Linked DNA regions of Anolis sagrei. The protein of the gene in region 1 purifies or fractionates together with the protein of each later gene. This does not show direct contact. Links are inferred from orthologs where the notes say so. Each region holds a gene or a part of one and is shown in the gene's direction. Other genes may lie near its edges.

Region 1 (7,677 bases):
GATGGATGAACAAAGAAACAACTAAGCAGATAAGTTAAGTAACTAGTTTTTGGTTTATTAAATACAGTTCTACAGTATATTACATATATATAGCGAAATTATGGTTTTTATTTCAGGTGATACCCCACCTGAGATAATAATAATAATAATAATACTTTATTTATACCCCGCTCCATCTCTCCCAGGGGGACTCGAGGTGGCTTACATGAGGCCATGCCCATCAATACAGCATAACACAATATAACACAAAAGCATAACACAATATAACACAAGGCATAACAGAACTAGAAAACATAAAATGCAAAATCTAAATAATAAACGAGACAGCAGTATAAAATTGGACAGTAAACACACAGAAATTGCACAGGCAAGGCCAGATTTAAGGATAAAAATTAAACATTTAAAATTTTAAAACACTGGGAGATTAGGCAATGGAAACTGTTGGGGAGGGAGATCCGGATTGAGGAAGGAATTCATTGCACGAACCATAAAATAAAGTGCTTCTGAGGTCATTTGTGCGAAATTTGGGAGGGAGTATTTTAAATTCAATCATTGAAGGCACATTGGAATAACCAGGTTTTCATATTCCTCCTGAAGATTGCCAGCGTGGGAACTTGCCTAATGTCTCTGGGGAGTGAATTCCAGAGCCGGGGGGCCACCACAGATAAAGCCCTTTCTCTCGTCCCTACATGTCGCAGTTGCGATGCAGGCGGGAGCGAACTAAGGGCCTCTTCGGAAGATCAAAGAGATTGTGTGAGTTCATAGACGGAAATGCGGTCGTGCAGGTAGGTGGGTCCCAAACTGTTCAGGGATTTGTAGGGTAAAACCTGCACCTTGAATTGGGCCCAGAAGATAAATGGCAGCCAGTGGAGCTCCTTAAACAGGAGGGTTGACCACTCTCTGTAATTCGCTTCAGTTAATAATATGGCTGCTGCCCGTTGGACAAGTTGAAACTTCCGGGCCGTCTTCAAGGGCAGCCCCACGTAGAGGGCATTGCAATAGTCCAATCTAGAGGTAACTAAGGTGTGGACCACTTTGCTTATATACCGCTGTATCTCAAGCCTGAAGGCGACTCACAGCGGTTCACAAACAGTAAAAACAGTAGAAACAGCAGTGGTTCCGTGGTCGACGGTATCGAAGGCCGCTGAGAGGTCCAGCAGCACCAACAGGGACACTCTCCCCCTGTCGAGCTCCCGGCGCAGATCATCCACTAAGGCGACCAAGACTATCTCGGTACCATGTCCCGGCCTAAAGCCAGACTGTGCTGGGTCTAGATAATCCATGTCTACTAAGAATACCTGGAGCTTAGAGAAGACAATGATGCTGGGGAAAATGGAAGGCAAAAAGAGGAGGGGCCGACCAAGGGCTAGATGGAAACCAGGCTTTCGGGCAATCTGACAACTAGATAAAGACAATTAGATGACTAGGACTGACAGGACTGACAAAGTGGAATTGGAATTTGGACTATGAGATGGCGAACACTGAGCGTTAATTAGGTGAAATCGGTTTTATTGGTTTTATTGTTGCAGTGCAGAAACTGATTGTTAAAAAGCACAATTTGATGTTGGCAGCATCAAATTGTGCTTTTGTAAGCCACCCTGAGTCCCCCTCTGGGGTGGGAAGGGCGGGGTAGAAGTAACAAAGTGTTGTTACTCACCTTTAAGGCCTTGCATGGTCTGGGGCCAATGTATCTGAGGGACCGTCTCACCCCCTACCAACCCCAGAGATCCCTCCGTTCTGAGGACCAAGATCTATTGGAAGTCCCCAGTGTCAAGGCCTTGCGTCTAATGGCAACCAGATGCAGAGCCTTCACAGCAGTGGCGCCATCAGTCTGGAATGCTCTGCCACCTGAAGTTCGTGCCCTGTGGGACTTACCAGCTTTCCGCAGGGCATGTAAGACATACCTGTTTCGACAGGCTTTTAATGTTTGATACTGTTGTTTTTAAATTGTTTTAAATTGCTTTTAAACTTTGTTAGATTTTAGCTATTCTTGTAAGCCGCTCCGAGCCCCAGGGGAGTGGCGGCATATAAGTTTAAATAATAAATAAATAAATAACAGAAATAAATAAATAAATAAATGGCATCCTTGAAGTGACTGGATTGACTCTGAAGGAGCTGGGGGTGGTGATGCCCGACAGAGAGCTCTGGCGTGGGCTGGTCCATGAGGTCATGAAGAGTAGGAAATGACTGAACAAACGAACAACAACAAAACACAATGAAGTTCAACAGGGACAAATGCAAGACACTCCACCGAGGCAGAAAAAAGGAAATGCAAAGAGACAAAATGGGGGACGATGCCTGGCGCGACAGCAGTGATGTTGAGCACCCCCCCCCCCAAAAATAAGGGATAGTGACTTATAGTTCTGCAAAGGGCAAGGGCACCAGACTACACAACAAGGGTTAAGTCTTGGTCACATTGCCAAGGCACTGACAACAACAAGGACCCCACGAGGCTTTTGGGAAATGGCTAGATCTTGGGACTTCTGTCCTTTGTGAGAGTTGTAGTTTCCAGAAGCGTGAATCAGTTGCAGCACAGCTGGGGTTTCATCTGCCAGCCTTCCCAATGATCATGGACTCTCTGCCTGCATATCTTGGACTTCAGTACATACTATCTCCCTCATGAACTTTCCTCAAAGACCTTTTAAAACATTGGACTTCAGGCTTCTTCATGAAAATTAATTCTCTTATTAAATATACTTGGAATGTGGGACAAAAATGGGGTTTTGTTGCTATGAAATGCTTATGATTTGAATGTATGTATCTTGCTATGAAATATTGCCTTTCCCCTTTGCCTTTTGCCCTAGAAAATGTGACCCAGGACTGTTGAAATGCTTGAGGGAGAACCACCACCTCCCTTTCTTATTTGATTATTTCACCTCTGCATGGACAGTAGCAAGCTGAAACTTCCTCTTGTTTGCTTTGTCTGGCAGGCAAGGAAGTTTATCTGGACACTTTGATTGAATCACAAAGGGCAGGGTTGATCCCCCCCCCCCCCAGGTCCCCTGCCCCGATCCTCTTTGTTTTCCTTCACCAAAACCCATCAAGGGCAGAAAAACCTTTCTTAATAAAATCAACTTTTACTGGACAAAACAATGCCCCTCTTCCGTCCTGCCTCCCTCTCCCTGATTTGCTAAGGAGCCAAAGAGGGAGGGAGTTTTGAAACTTTCAAACCTGTATTTTCTCTTTAAAAATGCCAGTAAAATTCTGTATTGCTATGCTTGTAGTGGAACTATTCCTACAATACATCTGATTTCAGCTGAATCGCTAATAAAGACACCTCGGTCCCAGCTTCTTCCGCTTTGGTGAGGATTTATTATTTTAAATATTTTTGCTGCTGAAATTGGCTTCGCTGGCCTCACCAAGGTTCAAGGACTCTCTTTGGTGTGGTCCTCAGGATCTCCTCGGCTCGGAAGATCCTCCTAAAAGCAGCTCGATATCAGCAGGACGTGGGAAAAAGGTTTTGAAGTCCTGAACATGAGAACGAATTTCCTAACTGTAAGGAGAGCTGTCCAGCAGTGGAACTCGCTCTCTGCCCTAGAGTGTGGTGGAGGTCCTTCTTTGGAGGCTTTGAAGCAGAGGCTGAATGGCCATCTGTTGTGGGTGCTTTGAATGTAATTTTCCTGCTTCTTGGTGGAATAGGGTTGGACTGGATGGCCTACGAGGTCTCTTCCAACTCTAGGATTCTAGGATTCTATGATTCTAAGGCAGTGACATATCCGGCCCATCCTCTGTTTGGATATCAGCCAGTTACCAATGCCTTAAATCAAGAAACATCTTCCTAAGATCAACAGAGATACTTGCAGGAACACCTCAGCAAGCGAGAGTCCAAAAGTGGCAGGCTCAAACCCAGAACCTGAATCCATTGCTGATACTGAATGAGAGACTCCGTCCTGGGCACACAGAAGATTAGGTGACTTGGAAGGTGCTGAACAGGCTGCGCTCTGGCACCACGAGATGCAGAGCCAACCTTAAGAAATGGGGCCACAAAGTGGAGTCCACGACATGCGAGTGTGGAGAAGAGCAAACCACAGATGACGTACTACAATGTGACCTGAGCCCTGCCACATGCACAATGGAGGGCCTTCTCTCAACAACACCAGAGGTATTCCAAGTGGCAAATTTAGCACAATGCCAAGTTTTTAACTTTGTGTTTTTAAATACATTACAACTGCATCCTTGGCTAGCTTCTGACACAATAAAAAATAAAAATGTAAATAGTTTTAATTCTATGTTGATGTTTATTTTCTTTAGGATGTAAGTGTTGTATTTTTTATCACTGGAGTCTCTTTAGGAGAAAAAAACTGGGTGATCCTGGGCATGTCACACTCTCTCAGCCTCAAATGAGCTCCAACTGATGCGCTATTACAAGGTCGCTAGAAGTCGGGAACGCCTTGAAGTCGAACAACAAAGCCTTAGTTCCTTTCTCTAATAGGGAAAAAAATTCTGGCTCCGATCACAAACGAAAGGTGCAACCTTATAGCCGGAAACGGCCGATCCTTTCCGGAGATTCACGAGGCCCCCTAACAGCGAAAATCGACCAAAACCGAACGCCGCCCGCCGAGCGCTGGCCTCAGGCTTCGCCATTCTACGGCAAGGAACGAATCCTTTCCGGAGATTCCCGAAGCTCACCCGAGCGATTCCGGAAATGCACGAAGGGCTCAAGGCTTGGTCGGCGCTCGCTGCGTGGGAAGGAGAGGCGACGACGACGCCACCGGAGGCGGGAGGGGATGGAGCGCGGCCGGGCCCGGAGTTCCTGAGGCGGCTTGGCCGAGGCGGGCGGAGTCCGGGAGGCGCCATGGCCGCTAATATGTACCGGGTGGGCGGTAAGGCCGGAGCAGGAGCGGGAGGAAGGGAGGGGGCTCCTCGGGGCTCGCTGGAGGGGGGAGGGGCGCCTGAAGGAGCCGGAGGGGGAGGAGAGATCGGGAACTGAGGGGAAGCGGCGAGGGAGTGCGCATGCGCCTCCGGAGTTCGGCCTGGAGGAGTTCGGGGCGCTTGTGGGCGGCGGTGGAGATGGGCCTGGTCTGTGGGGAGAAGCCTGGCGCCAGGGCCGAGGCTCAGGAAGCGGGGCAAAGACCTTGGCGTCTCAATACGAGGGCGGGGGAAAAAGGGGGGGGGGGCAAATGTCATGGCTGGTTCAAAAGAATTGACAAGAAAAGAGAAGCCTGGCTTAGTTGACTCCTTGCCTGTTGGCGTTGTACGTTGTAGATCAGGCATGGGCATACTTGGGCCCTCCAGGTGTTTGGGACTTCAACTCCCATAATTCCTAGCAGCCTGGAGGGCCCAAGTTTGCCCATGCCTGGTATTATGGAAATCAAGGTGTGTTAATTACTGTAGTGTATCACAAGAAATAGTGTTTCTCAGCCCTTAAGCGACTCACAGCGGTTCACAACAAGAACAGCAAAAATTCAATGCTACAATAACACAGCATAAAAAACAGTTAACATCATAACACATTATACAGTAATATACAATTAACAACAATAGCCATTCACTAGCGTCTCGTCACTAAAAAACATGATCCAGATCCATCATCCATTGTTCCATTCCTATGTTCATTACACTCATTGCACTGACTATTCGAACACCTGCTCAAACAACCAGGTTTTCACTTTTTTGCGGAATACCATTAATGATGGAGCTAGTCTAATGTCCGTGGGAAGGGCGTTCCACAGCCGAGGGGCCACCACCGAGAAGGCCCTATCTCTCGTCCCCTCCAGCCGTGCCTGTGAGGCAGGCGGGATCAAGAGCAGGGCCTCCCCGGATGATCTCAAAGTCCTGGTGGGTTCATAGGCAGAGATGCGGTCGGATAGGTAGCTTGGGCCAGAACCGTTTAGGGCTTTAAAGGCCAACGCCAGCACTTTGAATTGAGCCCGGTAGCAAATCGGTAGCCAGTGGAGTTGGCGCAACAGGGGGGTTGTATGCTCCCTGCACTCTGCTCCTGTTAGAATCATGGCTGCCGAGCGTTGGACTAGTTGAAGCTTCCGAACCATCTTCAAAGGCAACCCCACGTAGAGAGTGTTGCAGTAGTCTAAACAGGATGTAACCATAGCCGCCGTGAATCGCCCTAGGGCTGAGAACGGCGGTCTACAAGTGCAGTAAATAAATAAATAATAAATAAATAGCGTGGACTACCGTGGCCAAGTCAGACTTCCCAAGGTACGGGCGCAGCTGGCGCACAAGCTTTAGCTGTGCAAATGCTCCCCTGGTTACCGCCGAAACCTGGAGTTCCAGGCTCAGCGATGAGTCCAGGATCACACCCAAGCTGCGAACCTGCGTCTTCAGGGGGAGTGCGACCCCATCCAACACAGGCTGTAACCCTATGCCCTGTTCGGCCTTGCGACTGACCAGGAGTACCTCTGTCTTGTCTGGATTCAGTTTCAATTTGTTCGCTCTCATCCAGACTGTTACAGCAGCCAGACCCCGGTTCAGGACCTTGACAGCCTCCTTAGTAGCAGGTGGAAAGGAGTGACAGAGTTGGACATCGTCTGCGTACAGATGACACCGTACCCCAAAACTCCGGATGATCTCTCCCAGTGGCTTCATGTAGATGTTAACATGGGAGACAATATTGAGCCCTGTGGAACCCCACAAGACAAAGGTTGTGGGGTTGAACAGGTGTCTCCCAATAACACCTTATGGGATCGGCCCTCTAGGAAAGACCAGAGCCACTGTAAAACAGTACCTCCAAGACCCATCCCCGCGAGGCGTTCCAGAAGGATACCGTGGTCGACGGTATCGAAGGCCGCTGAGAGGTCCAGCAGCACCAACAGGGACACACTCCCCCTGTCGACCTCCCGGCGCAGATCATCCACTAAGGCGACCAAGACTGTCTCAGTTCCATGTCCCGGTCTGAAACCAGACTGTGCCGGATCCAGATAATCCGTGTCTCCCAAGAATACCTGGAGTTGTGAGGCCACCACGCGTTCCAGGACTTTGCCCAAAAAGGGGAGATTGGAAACTGGCCAAAAGTTGTCAAATTTAGTGTGGTCCAGTGAAGGTTAGAATAGCACAAAATCAGTATTATACATAACTAGATTATACTATACTGCTATCCTGGAATATTATTAGTAAAAATTACATGTAATATAAAAAATATAATTATTATATTATAATATTGTATTATTAGTAATATTAGATTGTTTTACAATATTATTATATGGTATTACAATACAATATTGTAATATTGTATTACAATATTATAATATTATGATTATATGTACATAATAATGGTAAATGTTTTCCCCTGACATTAAGTGCAGTTGTGTCCAACAATGGGGGTTTGTGCTCATCTCCATTTCTAAGCCGAAGAGCCAGCATTGTCCCTAGACACCTCCAAGGTCATGTGGCCCGCATGACTGCTTGGAGCGCCATTATATATGTACATACAATATATTATAATTATTAGCATAGCACAATATTAGTATTATATATTATTGTATTGTACTATATCACTATACTGCAATATTATTAGTACTATTACATGTAATATATACTCTATAATTATTATCTTGTATTATTATTAGTATTATGGAGCCCCTGGTGGTGCAATGAGTTAAATCCTTGTGCCGGCAGGACTGAAGACTGACAGGTTGCAGGTTCGAATCCGGGGACAGCGCAGATGAGCTTCCTCTGTCAGCTCTGGCTCCCCATGCGACGACATGAGAGAAGCCTCCCACA
Region 2 (7,080 bases), on another chromosome or scaffold:
GACCATCTCGAAAGACAAGATGCTGTTAGTTGAACTGTGGGAATAAAAACACACACACACCATTATAATAATGCGATAGATTCCTTGATGGGATTCTTGATGCTGACTGCATTGTGAAGAAGCATCAAAGGCAGGCAAGAGACTGAAGGAAAAAGATGTTTTCCTTTTTGCAGACTGCTCCCTTGAGCAATGAGGACCAAGCCAGAAAAAGCAAAGGTCAAGATTCAAAAAGGGGTTTCCCTTAGTGGGAAAAGTTGGTTTTTTTCTCCAGTTCTCGCGGCTTTGTTTTGAACCAATGAGTAATATAATGCTTCCAAACTGATTGCATTCCAGGCTTGAAATCAGAGGATGCTGCAACCAGTTTCATCTTTCTCCTTTCCACCAGGAAGAGAAAAATGCCTGGAAATTGCATTTTAAAAGGTTTTGATAGCACAAAGCCTCCCAAGCTCTTCCTTCGAGCACTGACTTCCAGCACTGCCAGGGAAATGTTTCAACGTGAGTGAATGGGTCTGGCGCCCAAGCTCCTGGAGGGCTTCAGAGGGTGTTGCGTTAAATATAAAAGCCACATGGGGGATAACGTTCATTTGGCAAGCTCTTTCTCCTGCAGGCACAGTGACTCCTCTGTGGACACTTAGAACTAGTCTATGGGGAGGATCGGCTCAGGCTGAACATGTTCACTAAAGAACAACCATGCATTGGCTTTGATTTCTTCCCATCCTGGCCAACCTTTTAAAAAGAGCGCACCATTGCTGCAATCCCACTGTCTTCACTGGGAATTATTAGGATGTGATAAGATATAATAGAAGGACATTTATTCAGAAAAGATTATTTTGAAATTTATCGCTTTTTTATCCAAGTAATGGAGAGACCGTCATATGTCAATAGGCGATTTGAAAGCACATACGTGTCCTCAATATGTGACATCATTTTTTAATTCCTTCAAAGTTAAAATGGAAGCATATTTGCCAATTTATGTCCTCAAAGATAGGGTTCAACTTTGGTTCATTACTGTGTACCTTGAAGTCAATTTGCAGTTTTGGTGACCCCAGGGCAGCCTTATTGTATAACTGTCTCAACAAGATGATGGTTTGACTCAATTGGTCTACCTTTACTTGAAACTACCAATAGGACTGAAGCCTGTGTATTGAAGATATTCTAAATTCCAAAACATACAGGACTTTAAAAAAAAAGAACTGAGAATAGAGAAACATGCATATACTGAAAATCTTATGCATACTATCTCTGACACAAAACATTAATCCTTAACATAGCTATTGTCCTAAATGGGACTACTCCAGAATAATGGTACTCACTGTTTATAGATAATATGTTGGTGAGATCATCTTTCAACAACATGATATTTAGGACCACAAATATTTTTTCCTTTCATATAAGGAAAGGAACGTAGGCCAGGTTAAAAAAAAAGGAAGAAAAGGAAGCACAGCAAAGGAAAATACTGAAATGTTAGCACTATTGATCAGTGTTACAATCTTCAGTAGTAATTTTTGAAATTCGCAATTTAAGCATGCTTTTTAATGTTAATGAAATAATAATTGTATTTATTTATTTAATTTGTCTGCCACCTTTCTCCCAGTGGGAACTAATCCAACTCCTAAAGAGACTAAATAAAAAAATCCTATGTCATCAAAAAATAGTCCCAAATTTGCTGGAAAGAACATGTTTCCTTTTTTAAACCCATGTTAGATACTACGAAAGAAGCTATAGTAGAGAAGCTGGGCCTTTTAAAGCTGGATCTGCACTGCCATATAATGCATTTTTGGAAGGTGGATTAACTGCATTGTACTGGATTATATGAGTCTACACTGCCATTATATCCTTGGCCATTCTGGTTGTGATTAATGGGTGGCTAGAGTCCAAGAAATACATGGAGAGCCACAGGTTATGTAATACTGACACCCTCTGTTACTTGCTGTATTGGTAGGATGGCAAGCCATGCTTTACTCAGATTTGGCAGACACTAAAGTGAAAAAAGAATGTGAATAATCCAGATTTAAACAGCAAAACAAGGGCTCCTTAATGTTTCCTTACGCTTCTGGAACACATTCCTGTCACCAGGGGTCAAGACCTCTTCTCTGTGGCCACAAATGAAAACTTATGCTTCAAACTCACATGATGAATGTGATTTTCCTTATTCTTGGCAGGGGGTTGGACTGGATGGCCCACGAGGTGTCTTCGAACTCTATGATTCTATAACTCACTAAAAATAAGGCTCATTGATATGAAATCACAGCGGCTGTCTAAAATATTATAATAGCCTCATTTTTAATATTTGTTTCCCTTTAGTGTTGTTTTTACAGTTATGAAATGAGGTGAAGCCAGTTATGGGTCATTATTATTATTATTAAACTATATTTGTACCCCGCTAGCATCTCCCAAAGGACTCGATGCGGCTTACAAAGGTCGAGGCCTCAACATAACAACAACATAAAACAATACAACTCAAAGCATATCAAAAACATAAAGCAATATCAACAAAACATTACATCATAAACAGTAAAACCAAGGCCGAGCCAAGTAGTGGGTACAGATTAAAAAAGTGCTGGGTGTGATAGGCGGCATATTGGATTTCAGGGCATGTGCAATGTGCAGAGGATCTTAAAACTCTAATAAAGTGCTTCTAGGACATAGTGCTGAAGTTTCCTATTCCGGGAAGGCACATCGGAACAGCCAGGTCTTCAAGCTCTTTCTAAAGCCTGCCAACGTGGGTGCTAATCTGATGTCTTTGGGGAGGGTGTTCCAAAGTCGGGGGGCAACCACAGAAAAGGCCCTATCCCTCGTCCCCACCAACCGCGCTTGCGACGCCGGTGGGATCGCGAGCATGTTCAAGAAGTGTGTGTATGTATATATGGGTGTGTGTGTATGCATGGTATTTTTGGTTTCAGTTGAATTTAACCCTGGGCTGGATTTTGTGGTCAAAATTATTCCTAAAATCTCTTTGGTGAGAAAAAAAACCCAGCTGGGAACAAAGAGATTTGGAAAGACTTCACTTGAATTTGATCTTAATTTTTTTTATGCTATAAACAAAACCTTTCTATTTTTATTTTTTAAAAGAACAATATATATATACCTTAAAGGGGGGTATGAATTATTATCAGAATTGACTCCTCAAAAATCATTTCTGTATACACTCTCCTTTATGTGAATAGGATCTTATGTAAAAAATCTCCTTATGTGAATAGGATCTTATAATAAATTGCAGTAATCAGTGTTTTTTTTCTCCCTCCCCTCTCTTTCTGTTCTTCCTTTCTTGCCCTGGAGGAGAAAAAAAGGAGAGAAATAAACCACTCCCTTCTGAAGTATTTAAAGTTAGAGAGAGAGAGAAAAAGAGAAAGGAGGGGGGAGATGGAAATAAAACACCCCCTATTCTTTCTCCTTTGAATGCTGGTAAAGCAAGACACACACATAACAAAAGTCACAGTCTGACTGACTAGTATGGAACTAGTTAACCTTTAACAATTTTATGCTGATGTCATAACTGAGCATGAGTACTGATTAATCCAACCTTTTCTCTTTCTCTCTCTCTCTTCCCCCTCCCTATAAAAAATATTTTTATTGAGGGAGGGGGGGGGGAGGGAGAGCATAAGGAGGGAAAAGGGGGGGGGGGAGAAAAAGAAATAATTTAGAGCAGCCATCTTTGTTTTATGCAGAAATCTTGTCAGTTTCCCCCCAGTGCCAGGAATGTCTAAATATTGTTCATGATCACACAGATCTTAAGAGGAGATTGGGGGGGAAAGAAAGAAAGAAAGGAAGGGAAAAAAAGAGAAAGAGAAAGAGAAGGAAATATAGCCAAGAGCAAGAAGAAGAAGAAAAGAAGCTTTTGTTTTTAATTTTTAAAATTTGGAGCTGATTTTTTTTTTATTTTGGAAAGGGGGGGAAATCTTTCTTATTCTTTTTTTTTAACCCTGAGGGGGTTAAAAAGGCAGCCATTTTTTTAAAGATATATATAAAGAAGGGGGGAGTTATATATATACATATATACCTCCTGAGGAAGAAAAAAAGGGAGGGATTGAACAGAAAGGGGGGGAAAGAGGGGGGGCATTTTTGTTTTAAAAATAATTTAAAGGCGGCCATTTTTGTTGCTTCTTCTTCTGGTGGGAAAAAATAATTATTATCCCTCAGAATTTAAATATTATATTAATTTTTTTTAGAGAAAGAAAGGACCATATCCAATTAGGAGATATGCTGGATTGTTTTTTTAAAAGACTTAATGATTATAAATTGGATTTTTAATTCTTTTTGAAGCAACCTGAGAAGAAAAGAGGAGGAAGAAGGGGGGGTCGTGCCCCCTCCCCCTATTTTTTCTCAATCAATCCATTTTTTTTGCTATTTTCCTTCCTTTCTTTCTTGTTTTTCTATTTTTTTTCTCTCCCTCAGCGCCACCATGGCTTCTCCTCTGAGGGAAGAGGACGAGGAGGAGGAGGAGATGGTGGTGTCTGAGGCGGAGGGCGACGAGGACGGCGACGAGGAGGAGGAAGAGGAGGAGGAGGAAGAAGGAGAAGAAGCAGGAGAAGAAGAAGCCAGGAGGGAGGACAACAACAACAGCAGCAGCAGTTGCCCGGGCGGCGCCGCCGACATCTTCCCTCCCGCAGCACCAGCCTTGCCGCCACAACCGCCGCCTCCGCCAGGTAAACATCAACAAAGCTTCTCCCTCTGGCTCTCTCTCTTAAGTAGGGGGTTTTGGCGCCAAAACTGCCCCAGTCCTAATCTCCCCAGCAACAAGGGGACAAACAAAATCTGCCCCGGTTACTGAGAGAAAGGGGGCGCTGTGATTGGTGGGGGCTGTTTGTCAACAGCCAACGGCTTTCGAACGCTGAGCGGCCGAAGGTTCCAAACCGACCGTTGAGGGACCCGCCGTTCCGTCCCCCCGACACTCCCCCCTCCGCGCGCTTCTCTTCCCCCTTCCCCTCACCCCCCTCCCCCCCACTTGGCCTCCCCCACTCCCACCTTTTGACCTCCTCCGGGGATGGCCTCACCCGCCACCGGGTGGCTTTCGACGCTGTGGTGGCTTGGTCTTGAAATATTTGGGGTTTTCCTCTCCCTCCCAAGGGGGTGGTGGTCCCGTCCGAGGCAACAGCCGCTTCTTCACTTCTTTAAGCGACTCCTCATTTCCACTCAGAGGTTCCCAAGAGTTGCCAGGCTCTCCTTCTGAGCCTCCAAGAGTTCTCAGTTTCTGCCTGCTAAAAGTCTCAGGCCCCTTCCACAGAGCTGAATGAAATCCCATATTTTCTGCTTTGAACTGGACTATATGGCAGTGTGGACTCAGATAACCCAATTGAAAGCAGATATTGTGGATTATCTGCCTTGATATTGTGGATTATCTGCCTTGATATTCTGGGTAATATGACTCTGTGGAAGGGCCCTCAGGGTCCAGGCAACGTTGGGCAAACTTCAGCCCTCTAGGTGTTTTGGACTTCAACTCCCACAATTCTAGAACTTGCTAAGGGCCCTTCCACACAACCCTATATCCCAGAATATCAAGGCAGAAAATCCCACAATGTCTACTTTGAACTGGGTTATCCACACTGAGATAATGTGGGATTTTCTGCCTTGATATTCTGGGATATAGGGCTGTGTGAAAGGCCCAGAGGGCCCTTCCACACAACCCTTTATTCCATAGTATCAAGGTAGAAAATCCCACATTATAAGTGTGGACTCAGATAACCCATTTCAAAGCAGACATTATGGGATTTTCCGCCTTGATATTCTGGGATATAGGGCTGTATGGAAGGGCCCTTAGTAAGTTCTAGAATTGTGGGAGTTGAAGGCCAAAACACCTGGAGGACTGAAGTTTGCCCATGCCTAGTTTGACCTGTCAAGCAGGCCTTGAGATGGAGAGGGAAGCCTCCTCTTTTGGACAGGAATCTGTCTTATGTCAGACCCCTTCTATGCAGCTGTATCAAAGCCACACTGAACTGGATTATACGGCAGATAACCCAGTTCAAAGCAGATATTGTGGATTATCTGCCTTGATATTTTGGGTTATACGACTGTGGAAGGGCCCTCAGGATCCAGGCAACAGTGGGCCCATCCACACACTAGGAATGGGCAAACTTCAGCCCTCTTGGTGTTTTGGACTTCAACTCCCACAATTTCAGAACTTGCTAAGGGCCCTTCCACACAGCCCTATGCCCCAGAATATCAAGGCAGGAAATCCCACAATGTCCGCTTTGAACTGGGTTACCTGAGTCCACACTCAGATAATAAGAAACTTTATTATTATTATTATTATTATTATTATTATTATTATTATTATTATACACTTTATTTGTATTATTTATAATGTGGGTTTTCGATATTTTCTACCTTGATAAAATCCCACATTTTTTTCTTTGAACTGGATTATATGGCAGTGTGGACTCACAACCGAGTTCAAAGCAGATATGGTGGGATTTTCTTCCTTGATATTCTGGTTTATATGTGTGGATGGGCCCTCGGGGTCCAGGTAACAGTGTGGACTCAGGGCCATGCCATACAGCCATATCACTCAGGCCCTGCCACACAGCCCTATATTCCAGAATATCAAGGCAGAAAATCCCACATTATCTGCTTTGAACTGGGTTATCTGAGTCCACACTCAGATAATGTGGGATTTTCCACTTTAATATTCTGGGATATAGGGCTGTGTGGAAGGCCCAGAGGGCCCTTCCACACAGCTGTATAAAATCCCACATTTTCTTCTTTGAAGTGATTATATGGCAGTGTGGACTCATAACCCAGTTCAAAGCAGATATGGCAGGATTTTCCGCCTCGATATTCTGGATTATATGACTCTGTGGGAGGGCCCTCAGGGTCCAGGTAACAGTGTGGACTCAGGGCCTTGTCATACAGCCATATAAATGGCACATTTTCTTCTTTGAAGTGTATTATATGGCAGTGTGGACTTATAACCCAGTTCAAAGCAGATATGGTGGGATTTTCTGCCCTGATACTCTGGATTATATGACTCTGTGGGAGGGTCCAGGCAACAATGTGAACTCAGAGCCCTTTCACACAGTCCTATATCCCAGAATATTAAGGCAGAAAATCCCACAATGTCTGCTTTATACCAGGTTATCTGAG
Region 3 (7,528 bases), on another chromosome or scaffold:
AGTTGCCCACCTCTGCTTTAAATGCCAATATCAAGGACAATTTTGGCAAACAGCTATGGAAGCAGCCAACAAAACGTCTGTGCGCTTGTGATCAAACACATGCAAAAAAAGTGAATATGAAATGCAGATACATCCACCTACACAGATGACAGATGATTAAGTGAAGGATGCCTATCCAAGAAGTCCAAGGGGTGGGCTACAAAAAAGCAATAGAGCCCATATGTGACCTTAAGCCACAATTGTATTATTCTAGTTTAAATAAAGTAGGTTACTGGTGTTTACTGGGATTTGGTTCTGGGACACCCACCCCTCCCATGGATCCTGAAATCTGTGAAGGCTGAAGTCGCATTATTGATAAGGCTACAATTGAGGGAGTTCCTCTTGGGTGCTATGCAGGGCCACTCAGATGTCCAGAACATTGGATTGGCCCCAAATTAATGGTCAGCATAGAACAGTGGTTCTCAACCTGGGGTCCCCAGATGTTTTTGGCCTACAACTCCCAGAAATCCTAACAGCTGGTAAACTAGCTGACATTTCTGGGAGTTGTAGGCCAAAAACATCTGGGGACCCCAGGTTGAGAACCACTGGCATAGAAAGAGGCCATGGTAGCACATCAGTTAAAGCTGGTAGCTGCAGGAAAGGCTGCTGACCGGAAGGTCAAAAGTTCAAAGCCGCGAGTTGGGGTGAGCTCCTGACTGTCAGTCCTAGCTTCTGTCTCCCTAGCGGTTCAAAAGCATGCAATGCAAGTAGAGCAATAGGTATCACCTCGGCAGGAATGTAAATGGGTGCCCCATGCAGACATGCTGGCAAAAAGATCAGAGATGTCTATGGACAGCAAGCTCCTTCAGCATGGAAAATGGAACAAGAGCACCTCCCCATGGCTGGAAGTTGAGCATCACCTCCAGACACCAGAGATGGAAAAGGGGAAGTCCTTTACCTTATCTGTGTATTGTATGTCATTGTTTATGTCAAATGTAAAATGGCATTGAATGTTCGCCTGATATGTGTACTGTAATCTGCTCTGAGTCCAGGGAGATAAAGCAAAATATAAATACAGTATATTATTATTATTATTATTATTATTATTATTATCTCAGTCATCCACACTTTTTAAAAGTAATCTTTATTAAGAGTTTCCGTTAAAAGCAATAAAACCATGGAGAAAGGAGAAAAAGAAAAGAAAGGTAAAAGACAAAGAAAATACAGAAAGAAAAAAAGAGAAGGTAAGCAAAGAGAATAAAGTTAATGGATAGAAAGAGGTAGAAAAGAAAAAGAGAACACACACACACATAGTTAAGTAATATAGAATAGAAATAAAAAATAAAAAAAGTTTATTGACTTCCAATAAAGTGTATTATTATTATTATTATTATTATTATTACTATTACTATTATCAATCATCCACACTTTTTGAATGAGCTGGTGGAGTTGTGTCAGCTCAGGTCCACCGTCTTTAAAGATTTCAGCAGGGATCCCATCAGGTCCGCTGGCTTTGTTATTTTGTTGTTGTTGGCTGATGGTGTTGCTGACTTCCTCCAAACTAGGCAGTGCTGCAGGCTCATCCCTGATTTGTTGTTGCAGGATTTGTGGGAGAACCTCAAGAACAGAAAACAGAATGTTGGTGAACAGGAAAAAGAGGCTTAAAGCAAACCTTAAAAACTGTGGCATAGACACCAAGAACTGGGAAGCCCTAGCCCTTGAGCACTCTAGCTGGAGATCAGCTGTGACAAGCAGTGCTGTGGAATTTAAAGAAGCACGAATGGAAGGTGAAAGAGAGAAACATGCCAGGAGAAAGGTGCATCAAGCCAACCCTGAAATTGATGCCCTCACTGTGGAAGAACATGCGGGTCAAGAATGGGGCTAAACAATCACGTACATACCCACTGCCAAGACACTGCACTTGGAAGGCTATCATACTTGGACAATGAGGGATCACCTAAGTAGGACACAGTGGAGCAATGGATTCAAACTGCAGGAAAAGAGATTCCCCTTAAACATTAGGAAGGGAAAACCTGTTTGGCAGTAGAATGTGCTGCCTTTTAGGGGTCACCTTCTCTGGAGCTTTTGAAACAGTGTCTAGCTGCTGTGTCGGACTGGATGAGGGCTAACAAATTGAAACTCAATCCAGACAAGACAGAGGTCCTACTGGTCAGTCGTAAGGCCGAACAGGGTATAGGGTTACAGCCTGTGTTGGATGGGGTTACACTCCCCCTGAAGACTCAGGTTCGCAGCTTGGGAGTGATCCTGGACTCATCGCTGAGCCTGGAACCCCAGGTCTCAGCGGTGGGTGGGAGAGTTTTTGCCCAATTAAAACTTGTGCACCAGTTGCACCCGTACCTCGGGAAGCCTGATTTGGCCACAGTGGTCCACGCTCTTGTTACATCCCATATAGACTACTGCAACGCACTCTACGTGGGGTTGCCCTTGAAGACTGTTTGGAAACTTCAACTGGTCCAGCGAGCGGCAGCAAGATTGCTCACCGGAGCGACATACAGGGAGCACACCACCCCCCCTGTTGTGTCAGCTCCACTGGCTGCCGATTCAGTTCTGAGCACAATTCAAGGTGCTGGTTCTGATCTACAAAACCCTGTACGGTTCCGGTCCAGCGTATCTGTCCAAACATATCTCCCTCTACGTCCCACCCCGGAATCTGAGATCATCTGGGGAGGCCCTGCTCTCGACCCCACCGCTATCACAAGTAAGGCTGGTGGGGACGAGGAGCAGGGCCTTCTCAGTGGTGGCCCCCCACCTGTGGAACTCATTCCCAGGGGAAATCAGGGCATCAACATCCCTCCTTGCCTTCAGGAGGAAGGTAAAGACGTGGTTGTGGGACCAGGCCTTTGGGCACCCTGACAATTAGATACGGAAACCAGATGGATAGGACCGTATTCTCTCATGTCCCCGCGTGGGAAGCTGGAGCTGGCAGATGGGAACTGCCAGCTTTGTGGAAATCCAAAGTTCCAATTTGTGGAAATTGGAACTTAAACTATGAGTCTGCGAAACGCTGACCATCAATTGAGGTTTGTATTGATTTTAGTGCTTTTACTGCTTTTATTGGTTTTATGGTTGTTTTTGCCATTAATAATTATTGCTTTCTGTTAATTGTGACTGCTAAAACTGCTGTTTGTTAACTGTTGTTATTGTCCTTGCTGTTATGTAATGCGGGCATCGAATTGTGCCTTGCTTTTGTAAGCCGCCCTGAGTCCCCCTCGGGGTGATAAGGGCGGGGTAGAAGCAACCGAAATAAATAAATAAATAAACAGTGGCTGCTGCCTGGCAGAGGAACCATCTACTGCAATGTGTGGAAAGAATATGCCCATAAATCTTGTACTGCAAGAGTTTTCCTTCCCCAGTTCTTCTAATATTTGATAGCTTTAGTATACCCAGGAACTGAAGTTTTGTCTCTTTTGTATGAAGTCTGTACTTTTTTTGGTGCATTCTCCTATTTGGATTTTGAAGCAGTTCGGAGTCAACCTACAGTGGTGAAACAAACTCCAATGAAAATGCACAAAAGAAAGGACCTTCATGTTCACCAGTGCTTTGGGGTTTGTGTAATCACCACCTGGATCTCAAACTGGTTCCACGATTTCCTCTGCAATCCTCTGCACAGCGAAACTACTTTCTTGTATCAAAATACTGGTTTGAACAGGAGTCTCCAGTGGCGCAATAGGTTGAACCCTTGTGCCGGCAGGACTGCTGATAGTCGGTGGTTTGAAACCAGGGAGCGGGATGAGTTCCCATCTGCCAGGTCCAGCTTCCCATGCAGGGACATGAGAGAAGCCTCCCACAAGGATGGTAACACACCAGGGCATTCCCTGGGTAACGTCCTTGCAGACAGCCAATTCTCTCACACCAAAAAGGACTCAGTTTCTCAAGTCGTTCCTGTCACATACACACACACAATACAAACTGGTTTGAAACTGACTAATGTGGTCATTGCAGATCAGGCATGGGCAAATGGGCCCTCCAGGTGTTTTGGACTCCAACTCCCACCATTCCTAATAGCTTCAGTCCCTTTCCTCCCCCCCCCCCCCCCCAGCTGCTTAAGTGAGTGAGAGAGAAAGGGAAGGAGTCTGAGGCTGTTAGGATAAATAAATAAATAAATAAATTTCCTTCGCCTTGATTAGAAGGCTCCTTAGCTCCTCCTCGCTTTTGGCCATCAAAGTGGTATCATCCGCATAGCTAAGGTTGTTAGTGTTTCTTCCAGCAATTTTAACCCTGGCCTTGCATTTGTCAAGCCCCGCACATCACATGATGTGTTCTGCATACGAGTTGAATAGGTTGGGTATGACCAGGCCAGCATTATATCAATGTTAACTTGAAGTCCAAAACATCAAGAGGGCCTAAGTTGGCCCAGGCCAGCATTGTATCAGTGCTAACTTACTAAAGAGAGGCTGTGTGGCTCTCTGTTGGGAGGGCTTGGCTTGTGCCTTCCAGCCTAGCAGAATGGGGCTGGAATGGGGAAGAAGACAGTGGGGGGGGGGGGGTCCCTTGTGTTTCCAAGATCCTATGCCTCTAATTATCCTCGATTGGGTTTGAAGGAGAAAGAGAAAGAGGAGGCCAGAAGTACAAGTTCCTGCGAGGCTGTCAGAGGTAAACGAAAGAAGGAGGAAAAGGAAGAAGCAGGAGGAGGAGGAGGAGGAGGAAGGAGAGAGAGCGTGGGGGAGAAAAAGGAAGGGAGAAGGGAGAGAGAGGATCTGGAGCAAAGTGTGTGTGTGTGTGTGTAGGAAGAAAGGGGGGGGGGTCCTCCGCGCATGAGCCGCTCCGCCTGGGCGTCTTTGGCGTCGTCGCCGGTGCGCGTTGGCGCTGTTGGGGCCCCCCTGGAGCCGAGCAAAGAGAGAGGGAGAGGGCCCTGGCTCGCCCACCCGGCCAGGTAAGGCGAAGAGCCCCCTCCTCCTCCCGGCACAAGCCAGCCAGCCCCCTGCCCTGCTCGCTCGCCAGCCCCGGCTCGGCCTCGCCTTGCCCCCTGCGGCCTTTGCCCAAGCCCGGGCCCTCCTCCGCCTTGGCTTCCCCCTTCCTCTCTCCCCCCCCTCCCCCTTTTGCCTTTCAACCACGATTTGGACACACAAGCCCGGGCTGGGGAGACGTCTCCAAAGCAGAGCGAGAAGGAGAGCCATCGCGTTTCCTTTTCCCCTCTTCCTCCCTTTCTCCTCTCTCTCTCTCTTTTTCCCATCCCTCTTTCTCTTTCCCCTCCTTCTACATAAAAAAGTCGCCATTTTGCTTCATTGCTTTCCCAAGGCTTGGGTGGCTTTCATTATTTATTTTGCATGCCTGTCTCGAGATGGAAATTGTGGGTTCTTGTCGGGGTTGGGCACCCCAAGAAGAGGAGGAGGAGGTCGCGGCGCCCGAGTCCTTTGGCCTCCTCCTCCTCTCTCTTTCTCTCTCTTTCCCCTTTTATTTCCAGAGGAGGGAGGGCAGGATCTCAGGGTCCTTGGGGCTGGCAAGGAGGTCTTCTTCTCTATTTCCTTCTTTTTGCAAATCTATGCCCAATCTGCACAGTGTAGACAAGATTGCAACACAGTCACAAGCCTGCAGTCTCCATTTCCGCCTTGTGCCACTCCATTCACTCGCTCCCTTTCCCCCAATTCACACAGCAATATTGGGTGAAAAGTAGCAGTTTTTGTATCTCTTTCTTGCTTTCCTTCCTCCTTTCCCTTCTTTTCCTCACCTCACAGCTTATTATTTGGTGAAAGTAGCATTTTTTGTATCTCTTGGTTGCTTTCCTTCCTCCTTTCCCTTCTTTCCCCCACCTCACAGATTATTATTTGGTGAAAAGTAGCAGTTTTTGTGTCTCTCTCTTGCTTTCCTTCCTCTTTTCCCTTTTTCCCCCACCTCCCAGATTATTATTTGGTGAAAGGTAGCAGTTTTTGTATCTCTTTCTTGCTTTTCTTCCTCCTTTTCCTTCTTTTCCCCACCTCGCAGCTTATTATTTGGTGAAAAGTAGCAAATTTTCAGTTCTTGTGGGTTTTTTCGGGCTATATGGCCATGTTCTAGAGGCATTTCTCCTGACGTTTCGCCTGCATCTATGGCAAGCATCTTCAGAGGTCTGCTGGAGCTGGGAAAAAGGGGTTTATATATCTGTGGAATGACCAGGGTGAGACAAAAGGCTCCTTTCCTTTATTTTTCCCACATCACAGCTTATTATTTGGTGAAAAGTAGCAGTTTTTGTATCTCTTTCTTGCTTTTCTTCCTCCTTTCCCTTCTTTTCCCCATCTCACAGATTATTATTTGGTGAAAAATTGCAGTTTTTGCATCTCTTTTTTGCTTTTCTTCCTCCTTTCCCTTCTTTTCTCCAATTCACACATCAATATTTGGTGAAAAGTAGCAGTTTTTATATCGCTTGTTTGCTTTTTTCCCTCCTTTTCCTTCTTTTTCCCCACATCACAGATTATTCTTTGCTGAAAAGTTGCAGTTTTTGTATCTCTTTCTTGCTTTTCTTCCTCCTTTCCCTTCTTTCCCCCAATTCACAGATTATTATTTGGTGAAAGTAGCAGTTTCTGTATCTCTTTCTTGCTTTTCTTCCTCCTCCCCTCTCTCTCCTGTCTTCAAAAAAAAAATCCCAAATAGAAATAATAGATACAGATGGGAATAGATAGAAGCCCGCGGTTGCGCAGTGGGTTAAACTGCTGAGCTGCTGAATTTCCTGAACAAAAGGTTGCAGGTTCGAATCAGGGGAGCGGCATGAGCTCCCACTGTCAGCCCCAGCTTCTGCCAACCTAACAGTTTGAAAACGTGCAAATGTGAGTAGATCAGTAGATACCACTTCGGGAAGGTAACAATGCTCCATGCAATCATGTCGGAGCCCCCGGTGGCGCAGTGGGTTAAAGCCCTGTGCCGGCAGGACTGAAGACCGACAGGTCACAGGTTCGAATCCAGGGAGAGGCAGATGAGCTCTATCAACTCCAGCTCCTCATGCGGGGACATGAGAGAAGCCTCCCACAAGGATGATAAAAATATCAAATCATCCGGGCATCCCCTGGGTAATCTCCTTGCAGATGGCCAATTCTCTCACACCAGAAGTGACTTGCAGTTTCTCAAGTTGCTCCTGACACGAGAAAAAAAATGTCGGCCACATGACCTTGGAGGTGTCTGTGGACAATGTCGGCTCTTCGGCTTAGAAATGGAGATGAGCACCAACCCCCAGAGTTAGACATGATTGGACTTAATGTCAGGGGAAAACCTTTACCTTTACCTAGGAATAGATATTATTAGTCACTATTCATGCTTTTGTGGTTACTTTTTTGTAATGGCTGGAAGGGAACAATCAAACATGGTGCCTCTCAAAATGCAAGCAATCTGCACTTTAAGGAAAGCAAGCAAAGAAGAGGGAAGAATGGGGAAAGACAGGCAGGAAGCATTTGTGCTTTGGGCTGTTGTGAGTTTTCTAGGCTATCTGGCCATGTTCCAGAAGCATTCTCTCCTGACGTTTTGCCTACATCTATGGCAGGCATCTTCAGAGGTCATGAGGTCTGTTGGAAACTAGGATTTGCTTTGGATAGTTAGGGTTGGTTTGCATCTTTTCGAGGTC
Region 4 (7,579 bases), on another chromosome or scaffold:
TGGGCAGTTCGGAATTGTGGGAGTTGGAGTTCAAAACACCTGGAGGGAAGGCCGAAGTTGGCTCAGGGTGGGCCAACTTCCCCCCTTCTTTCCACTCCTGTTTTTTTCTCTGATTTCCCTTTCCAATGAAGGTTTTTTGTTTTGCTTTGTCCCTGTTTCCGCTTCCTTTCCCTCTCTTCCTTGTTCTTTCTCTCCATCCATTTCAGCAAAGGTGGCGAGTAAGCAGGTGTTTTCCTTCCTTCCTGCCTGCCTGTCTCCACGATCAGCTTCACCCCACTGGGTCTTTTCCACCCGCGTTCGCTTCAGGTGCCTCTCCACCTCGGGGAACCAGTGGGGTTCGTCCTTGACATTTTTGGGGAGCACGAGAGGGGTCTCTTCGGCCTCTCCCTGATCACCATAAGTGCACAAACCGCGATTTTCCTAGTTCAAAAATTGCAAAATCCATCCTCCTTACACCTTTCTCCAAAGAAGTGTCCCTGGGTTCCTCTGTTTGCTTTCTTTCCCAATGCCAAATGCAAAGGTTGGCAAGCCAATGGGGATTCCCTAAAGGAAAGCACAACAGGTAGCTGTTCCTTCTCTTCTGGCCGCACTTTCCCGACAATCTGAATTACTGCTGTTTGTTTACGTTTGAAGGGACGCTTCCAGGACAGTTTCACGCACACACAACCTCGTTTGGGGATAGATTTGGACATTCACAAGGTTTGAGAAGAATACTGACTCACAAACAATTCGATTTTCCACAAAAGTCTACTGGGAAAAGGAACCCCTTTGCACTTTCCCACTCGGAAAACATCCCCAGCCTCTTCCCAGTACTATCGCGCGATGAACTCGGGATTATGACAGCCCTATCTGCGCTCTGAGAAAGCTAAAGCTCTAAAATCGGGACAGTAAATAAAAAGCAACACTAAAAAAAATAAAATTCCAGACAAGAATCAATTAGCGTTTAATGGCCTGGCAGCTTCAAAGCCTGGCTGCTTCCTGCCTGGGGATGAATCCTTTGTTGGGTTCAGTAACAGTAATCAGAGCAGTAAAAAAAATAATCAGGGCCAGCTAATACCTCCCAACAAAGGATTCCCTCAGGCAGCAACCAGCCAGGCTCTGAAGCTGCAAGGCTATTCGATGCTAATCAAGGTGGCCGATTGTAACATTCACCCCTTCCTCAAGCAGACAAGAGTTCTTTCTCCCACCCTGGACATGCCACAGATATAACAAAGGATTCCTCCCTCGGGCAGCAACCAGCCAGACTTTGAGGTTGCAAGGCTATTCGATGCTAATCAAGGTGGCCGACTGCAACATTCACACCTGCCTCAAGCAGACCAGAGTTCTTTCTCCCACCTTGGATATACCACAGATATAACAAAGGATTCCCTCGGGCAGCAACCAGCCTGGCTTTGAAGCTGCGAGGCTATTGGACGCTAATCAAAGTGGCCGACGCACCGGCCTCAAGGAGACAAGAGTTCCTTCTCTCACCCTGGACATCCCACAGATATAACAAAGGATTCCCCCCGGGCAGCAACCAGCCAGGCTTTGAAGCTGCGAGGCTATTCGAAGCTAATCAAGGTGGCCAACTGCAACGTTCACACCTGCATCAAGCAGACAAGAGTTCTTTCTCCCACCCTGGACATCCCACATACATATATACTACACAGTCCACTTGCCTAGTTTCCAATAGACCTCACAACCTCTGAGAATGCCTGCCATAGGTGTGGGTGAAACGTCAGGAGAGAATGCTTCTGGAACCTGGTTCGGAAAACTCACAGCCAAGGGTTTAATCCCCCGTTAAAGAGGGCGGTAAGCAATCCTGCTTTCCCTGAAGGTTTTGGATTGCAACAGAACGATTCCTAAAGCGGGTTGATGTCGGTCCCATTTAGAATGTGTGTCTCTCTCTCACACACACCTTGAGTTCTCAACCCATCCTTGCAAATATTTTATTTTTCCAAAAAGAAAGGGAAAAGCCAGTCACGAGACCCCTGGATTTTATCTGACACAATTTCGGTCACCAGGTTTAACCTCCTAGCTATATACTACCGCCCGACACTCTTCAAAGGGTAGCTAACCCGCGTTAAATCCCATGTGGAGCCCTGGGAATAGGTAAAGGGGCTCAGGATTGGGAAAGGAGGGAGAGAAGGGGGTCCTGGTGGGCCTCTCTTGTGGAAGAGCAGCCCCTTCCCAGTGGAGAGGGAGTGGGGATCCTGTACAGGACATGTGGCAACGTTACCTGGTTGCAGGGATGGGGGCCAACTTGGGCCCTCCAGGTGTTTTTGGACTTCAACTCCCACAATTCCTAACAGCCTACTGGCTGTTAGGAATTGTGGGAGTTGAAGTCCAAAAACACCTGGAGGGCCCAAGTTGGCCCATGCCTATTTCAACTCTTCTGCCTTCCCCTCCCGAGGTCCCCCCCCCAGTGACCAAAGGAGGGAGCCGGGGGGGGGGCAAAGTGCTAGGAGACCCCCCCCCCCCAAAGCAAGCACCCCCCGGGCTTGCCCCCCCCCTCCCGCGCCTCCTCTCCCCAAACCCTTCACCTCTTCCTTTGGTCACCTCACAGAGACTTTTGCAACGCTTGTGAGTAAGAGGAGAGGAAGGAAGGAAGGAAGGAAGGAAGGAAGGTAAGAAAGAGCAAGGAAAGAAGGGTAAGGGAGGAAAAGGTAAGAGCAAGCAAGCAATGAAGGAATTAAGGAAGGAAGGGAAAGCTACGAAGGGAGGGAAGGAGGGAAAATTAAGGGGAAGGAAGTAAGGAAGGAAAAAAGGTAAGAGCAAGGGAGGGAGGGAGGGAAAGGTAGGAAGGACGGGAGGGAAAAGTAATTGGAAGAAGGAAGGAAGGAAAAGGAAGGAAGGAAAAGGAAAGAGCAAGCAAGAAAGAAAGGAATGAAAAGGCAAGAGGAAGGAAGGGAAGGTAGGAAGAAAGGGCAGGGACAGGTAAGAGGAAGGGAAGGAAAAGTAATTGGAAGAAGGAAGAAAGGAAGGAAGGAAAGAAGGAAGAAAGGAAAAGGAAAGAGCAAGCAAAGAAGAAAGAAAGGAACTGAAAGGTAAGAGGAAGGAAGGAAGGAAGGAAGGAAGGAAGGGAAGGGAAAGGTAGGAAGGGAAAAGTAAGAGGAAGGGATAAAGGAAGGAAGGGAAAGGTAGTAAGGAAGATAGGGAAATCTAAGGAAGGAAAGGGGGAAAGGAAAAGGAAAGAGGAATGAAGGAAAAGGTAAGAGCAAGGAAAGAAAAGAAGGGAAAGGGAGGGAAAAGTAAGTGGAAAGGAGGAAGAAAGGAAGGAAGGAAGGAAGGAAGGGAAAGGGAGGGAGGGAGAGAGGGAAATCTAAGAAAGGAAGGGAGAGAGGGAAAGGAAAGAGGAATGAAGGAAAAGGTAAAAGCAAGCATGGAAGGAAACGATCGAGGAAGGAAAGAATTAAGGTATGAAAAGGTAAGAGAAAGAAAGAAAGGAAAGGAAGGATGGGAGGAAAAAGTAAGAGGAAGGAAGGAAGGAAGAGGTAGGGAGGGAGAGAGGAAGAGGAAGAAAGGAAGGGAGAAACGGGTGAAGGGAGGAAGGGAAAGGTAGGGAGGGAGAGGAAGAAAGGGAGAAAGGGATGAAGGAAGGAAGGAAGGAAGGGAAAGCTAAGGAGGGAGAGGAAGAAAGGGAGAAAGGGATGAAGGAAGGAAGGGAAAGTTAGGGAGGGAGAGAGGAAAAGGTAGAGAGGGAGAGGAAGAAAGGAAAGGAGAAAGGGAAAGGAAATAGGAATGAAGGAAAAGGTAAGAGCGAGCATGGGAGGAAATAATTAAGCAATGAAAAGGTAAGAGAAAGGAAGTAAAGAAAGAAAGGAGAGGGAGGGAAAAGTAAGAGGAAAGGATGAAGGAAGGAAGGAAGGAAGGGTAGGAAGGGAGAGAGGGAAAGGAAAGAGGAATGAAAGAAAAGGTAAGAGCAAGCATGGAAGGAAAGAATTAAGGAATGAAAATGTAAGAGAAAGAAAGAAGGGAAAGTAGGAAGGGAGAGAAAAGTAAGAGGAAGGAAAAGGTAAGGAAGAATGGAATCTTTTTATGGATTTTATATATATATAAAAAGAGGGGGATCGCTCTGAAAACCTCGAGCCCTTCTCCCCCTCCTCCTCCTCTAGGAGTGTCCCGTCGCCCTATTTCCCCTCCTCTCAGGTGCCCACAACCCGCCTTTCTTTCCCCTTTCCTTCCCTGGCCACTCTTTCCTCTCTTTGACGCACACCTCTTTGGGGCGCTTTCTTCTCCGGACGCCCTCTCCCTTCGTGTTTAAAGTCCTCGGAGGGGCTGTACCCTCAGACTGAGACTCCCCCCAACCCACCCACCTACCCACCCAGACACCCTTTGTCCCAGGCATGGGTGTCCCAGGCATGGGCAAACTTCGACCCTCCAGGTGCTTAGGACTTGTGCCCCTGCCATTGGGCACTGGGCTTCCCCTTGGCGCCCTCCTCCTCCTCCTGCTTCTCCTCCTCCTGCTCCTGCCCGGCGTGCGCCTCCTCCTCCTCCTCCTCCTCCCCGCTGGCCATTGGCTTGCCCTACTACTGCTGCTGCTGCTCCCTCCGCCGGCCTGCCTCTCCCTCCTCCTCCTCCTCGGCTTCGACCTCCGCCTCCTCCGGGCTGCCTGCCTCTTTCTCTCCCTCCCTCCCTCCTTCTCCCTCCTCTTCTCTTCTCTTCTGGGGCTCCTGCCCTGTCCATCCCCCGCGGAGTGTCCGTCCATTGGCGTGGCGCGCTGCTCTCTCTCTCTCTCTCTTTCTCCCTCCTCCCTCCCTCTCTCTCTCTCCCTCCCTGGGCTCCCGCCTCCTCCTCCTCTTCCTCCTCCTCCTCGCCCTGCCCATGTTTTGTATGTCTGTGTCCATCCAGGCGCTTGACGTTCAAGTTCGTCGGGAACGTCACGTCCGCACTTGAACTTGCAGCTCAGGGGGGCTTTTGCCATTTTCCCCCCCTCATCTCTCTCTCTCTTTCTCTCCTTCTCTTCTTCCTTTCCTTTCCTCTCCTTTCCTTCTCTCTTTCTCTCTTTCCCTCCTCCTCCTCTGTAAAGAAGCACGGAAAGAAAAAGCCAAGCAAAGAAAAGAAAAAAGAGAAAAAGCCAAGCCATGCCTGCTCTCCCACCACCGCTACCACCACCACCATTCATCTTCCCCGCGCCATCTTTGTATTCTTATTTCTAATTTATTTTTGGATGTCAAAGGCGCTCGATGAAGAGCTCGGCCGGGAAGGGAGGGATGTGAGGAGGAGGAGGAGGAGGCGGAAGAGAGCCGGGGAAGAAGAAGGAGAAGAAGAAGCAGGGGAAGAAGAGGAGAGGAAGAAGGAGGAGGGCTGCCAACGTTGCTGCCGCCGTTGCTGCTGCTGCTGCTTCTCCTCCATCTCCAGCGCCAGCGCTCCCGCCGCCCCTCCGCGATGTCTCGCCGCAAGCAAGGCAAGCCGCAGCACTTAAGCAAGCGGGGATTCTCACGTAAGTAACACGCGAGAAGGGCGAGCACTCCTCCGGCGCCCACGGGCTGGCTTCCCACCTGGACTCCGGCGCGCGGGTCCTCCTCGCTCTCCACTACCTTCCTTCCATTCTTTGGGGGGGGGGGGGGAAACCCAAATAATACAAACCTCCAACCCAGACCCGCCTCCCATTCATTCATTCCTTTCCAACCCTACTTCTCCCAAGTTCCCTTTTCATTCCTCCGCTCCGAAACAACTCCATCTCTCCCTTGGCTTACTTTTCGAAGACCTTCCCTTCTTTTCCTTCTTCTCTCGCGCTCTGGAAAAAGAAAAGTTGCCTCTCTTCTCCTCTCAAGTCCCGCTTCCCCCTTTTTTCCCTCCCCATTCTGGATCTCTCTCTCTCTCTCTTCTCCCACCCCTCCTTTTCCTTTCCTTTCTTTCCTTTCCCTCCTCCTTCGCCCCATTGATTCGTTCGAGCTCTGCGTTTCTCTCTTTCTCTAGGCGCGCAAAGGAGTCGCGCCTCTGGAAGGAAAAGGGTTGGAGACGCGTGGAACGGGGTGTGTGTGTGTGTGCATTGTGTGCGCCTCTCCAGTGCGTGCATCCTGGCTTGAAGGGCGACCGGGAGGGTTGGGAAAGCACCCGCTTGAAGAGAGAGACCTCCGAGGGAATGAAGGGTCCCTTTCCTTCCTTCTTTTGGCCCCCAAACTCCAGGTTTTGCAGAAAGAGAGGAAGCAGAAACAAACTTAATAGGTGTGTGTGTGTATGTATATGTATGTGTGTGTAGTGCGTGCATCCTGGCTTGAAGGGCGACGGGGAGGGTTAGGAAAGCACCCACTTGAAGAGAGAGGCCGCAGAGGGAATGAAGGGTCCCTTTTCCTTCCTTCTTTTGCTCTCCAAACTCCAGGTTTGGCAGAAAGAGAGGAAGCATAAACTAATAGGTGTGTGTGTGCTGAATGCAGCCTGGCTTGAAGGGCGACGGGGAGGGTTGGGAAAGCACCCACTTGAGGAGAGAGGCCTCAGAGTGAATGAAGGATCCCCTTTCCTTCCTTCTTTTGCCCTCCAAAAGAAAGAGAGGAAACATACACAAACTTAAGGGGTGTGTGTGTGTGTAGTGCATGCATCTTGGCATGAAGGGCGACATTGGGAAAGCACCCACTTGAAGAGAGAGGCCTCAGAGGGAATGAAGGATCTCCATTCCTTCTTTCTTTTGCCCTCCAAACTCCAGGTTTTGCAGAAAGAGAGGAAGCATACACAAACTTAAGGTGTGTGTGTGTGTGTAGTGCATGCATCTTGGCTTGAAGGGCGACATTGGGAAAGCACCCACTTGAAGAGAGAGGCCTCAGAGTGAATGAAGGATCTCCATTCCTTCTTTCTTTTGCCCTCCAAATTCCAGGTTTTGCAGAAAGAGAGGAAGCATACACAAACTTAAGGTGTGTGTGTGTGTAGTGCGTGCATCCTGGCTTGAAGGGCGACGGGGAGGGTTGGGACAGCACCCACTTGAAGAGAGGGGCCTCAGAGTGAATGAAGGCTCCCCTTTCCTTCCTTCTCTTACCCTCCAAACTCCAGGTTTTGCAGAAAAAGAGAAGCATAAACAAACTTGAGAGGAGCGTGTGTGTGAATACAATGTGTGTATCCTGTCTTGAAGGGTGAAGGCGAGGATTGGGAAAGCACCCACTCGAGGAGAGAGAGACCTCTGAATGAATGGAGGGTCCCCTTTCCTTCCTTTGCACCCCAAACTTGGTCAGAAAGAGAGAGAAGCATAAACACCACTTGCTTCTGCATCCAGCTCCCTCTCTAAAGGAGGGATTCCCTTCTTTTTTCCCCCCTCTCCCTCCCTCCCTTCCTATGCCTCTCTCGTGTGCAATTTTCCCTCTTTGGAAGGTTTTCAAGAGTGGCCGTGGATTGTGATTGGGGGAAAAAGGGAAAAATCTCGTGCGCGGCGTTGTTTACAAGGCTTGCCGCGTGTGCGGCGGAGCGGCTGCCAGCAAAACAGAGCGGCGGAGCGTTGCCACTGAGGAGAGGAAGACGGAGAGAAGGAGAAAGAAAGAGAGAAAGAAAGGAAGGGGGAAAAGCCAAGGGGAGAGAAAGAGCAGAGCCAGCAGAGCAGCCCTCCTCGGAGGTGGCTCGCATCCCCTTTCCAGATCTAGCTTATCTCTCTCTTAATCTAGACCAGCAAAAA

The links.
Region 2: the proteins of MTA2 (region 1) and CHD3 purify together in Homo sapiens (affinity purification with mass spectrometry; 8 studies listed by BioGRID and IntAct, with this or other methods). This does not show direct contact. The link is inferred for Anolis sagrei from reciprocal best matches to the Homo sapiens genes MTA2 and CHD3.
Region 3: the proteins of MTA2 (region 1) and ZNF512B purify together in Homo sapiens (affinity purification with mass spectrometry; 3 studies listed by BioGRID and IntAct, with this or other methods). This does not show direct contact. The link is inferred for Anolis sagrei from reciprocal best matches to the Homo sapiens genes MTA2 and ZNF512B.
Region 4: the proteins of MTA2 (region 1) and BCL11A purify together in Homo sapiens (affinity purification with mass spectrometry; 4 studies listed by BioGRID and IntAct, with this or other methods). This does not show direct contact. The link is inferred for Anolis sagrei from reciprocal best matches to the Homo sapiens genes MTA2 and BCL11A.

What each region holds. Positions count from the first base shown.
Region 1 is NC_090032.1:12,528,001-12,535,677, reverse strand, and holds the start of MTA2 (metastasis-associated protein MTA2), read left to right. Parts: upstream 1-4,658; 5' UTR 4,659-4,795; coding exon 4,796-4,823; intron 4,824-7,677. UniProt on the Homo sapiens protein: May function as a transcriptional coregulator. Acts as a component of the histone deacetylase NuRD complex which participates in the remodeling of chromatin.
Region 2 is NC_090026.1:6,301,167-6,308,246, forward strand, and holds the start of CHD3 (chromodomain-helicase-DNA-binding protein 3), read left to right. Parts: upstream 1-4,071; 5' UTR 4,072-4,402; coding exon 4,403-4,646; intron 4,647-7,080.
Region 3 is NC_090024.1:238,132,219-238,139,746, forward strand, and holds the start of ZNF512B (zinc finger protein 512B), read left to right. Parts: upstream 1-4,512; 5' UTR 4,513-4,593; intron 4,594-4,653; exon of another isoform or gene 4,654-4,873; intron 4,874-7,528. UniProt on the Homo sapiens protein: Involved in transcriptional regulation by repressing gene expression. Associates with the nucleosome remodeling and histone deacetylase (NuRD) complex, which promotes transcriptional repression by histone deacetylation and nucleosome remodeling.
Region 4 is NC_090021.1:12,866,435-12,874,013, forward strand, and holds the start of BCL11A (B-cell lymphoma/leukemia 11A), read left to right. Parts: upstream 1-4,570; 5' UTR 4,571-5,367; coding exon 5,368-5,422; intron 5,423-7,579. UniProt on the Homo sapiens protein: Transcription factor. Associated with the BAF SWI/SNF chromatin remodeling complex. Binds to the 5'-TGACCA-3' sequence motif in regulatory regions of target genes, including a distal promoter of the HBG1 hemoglobin subunit gamma-1 gene.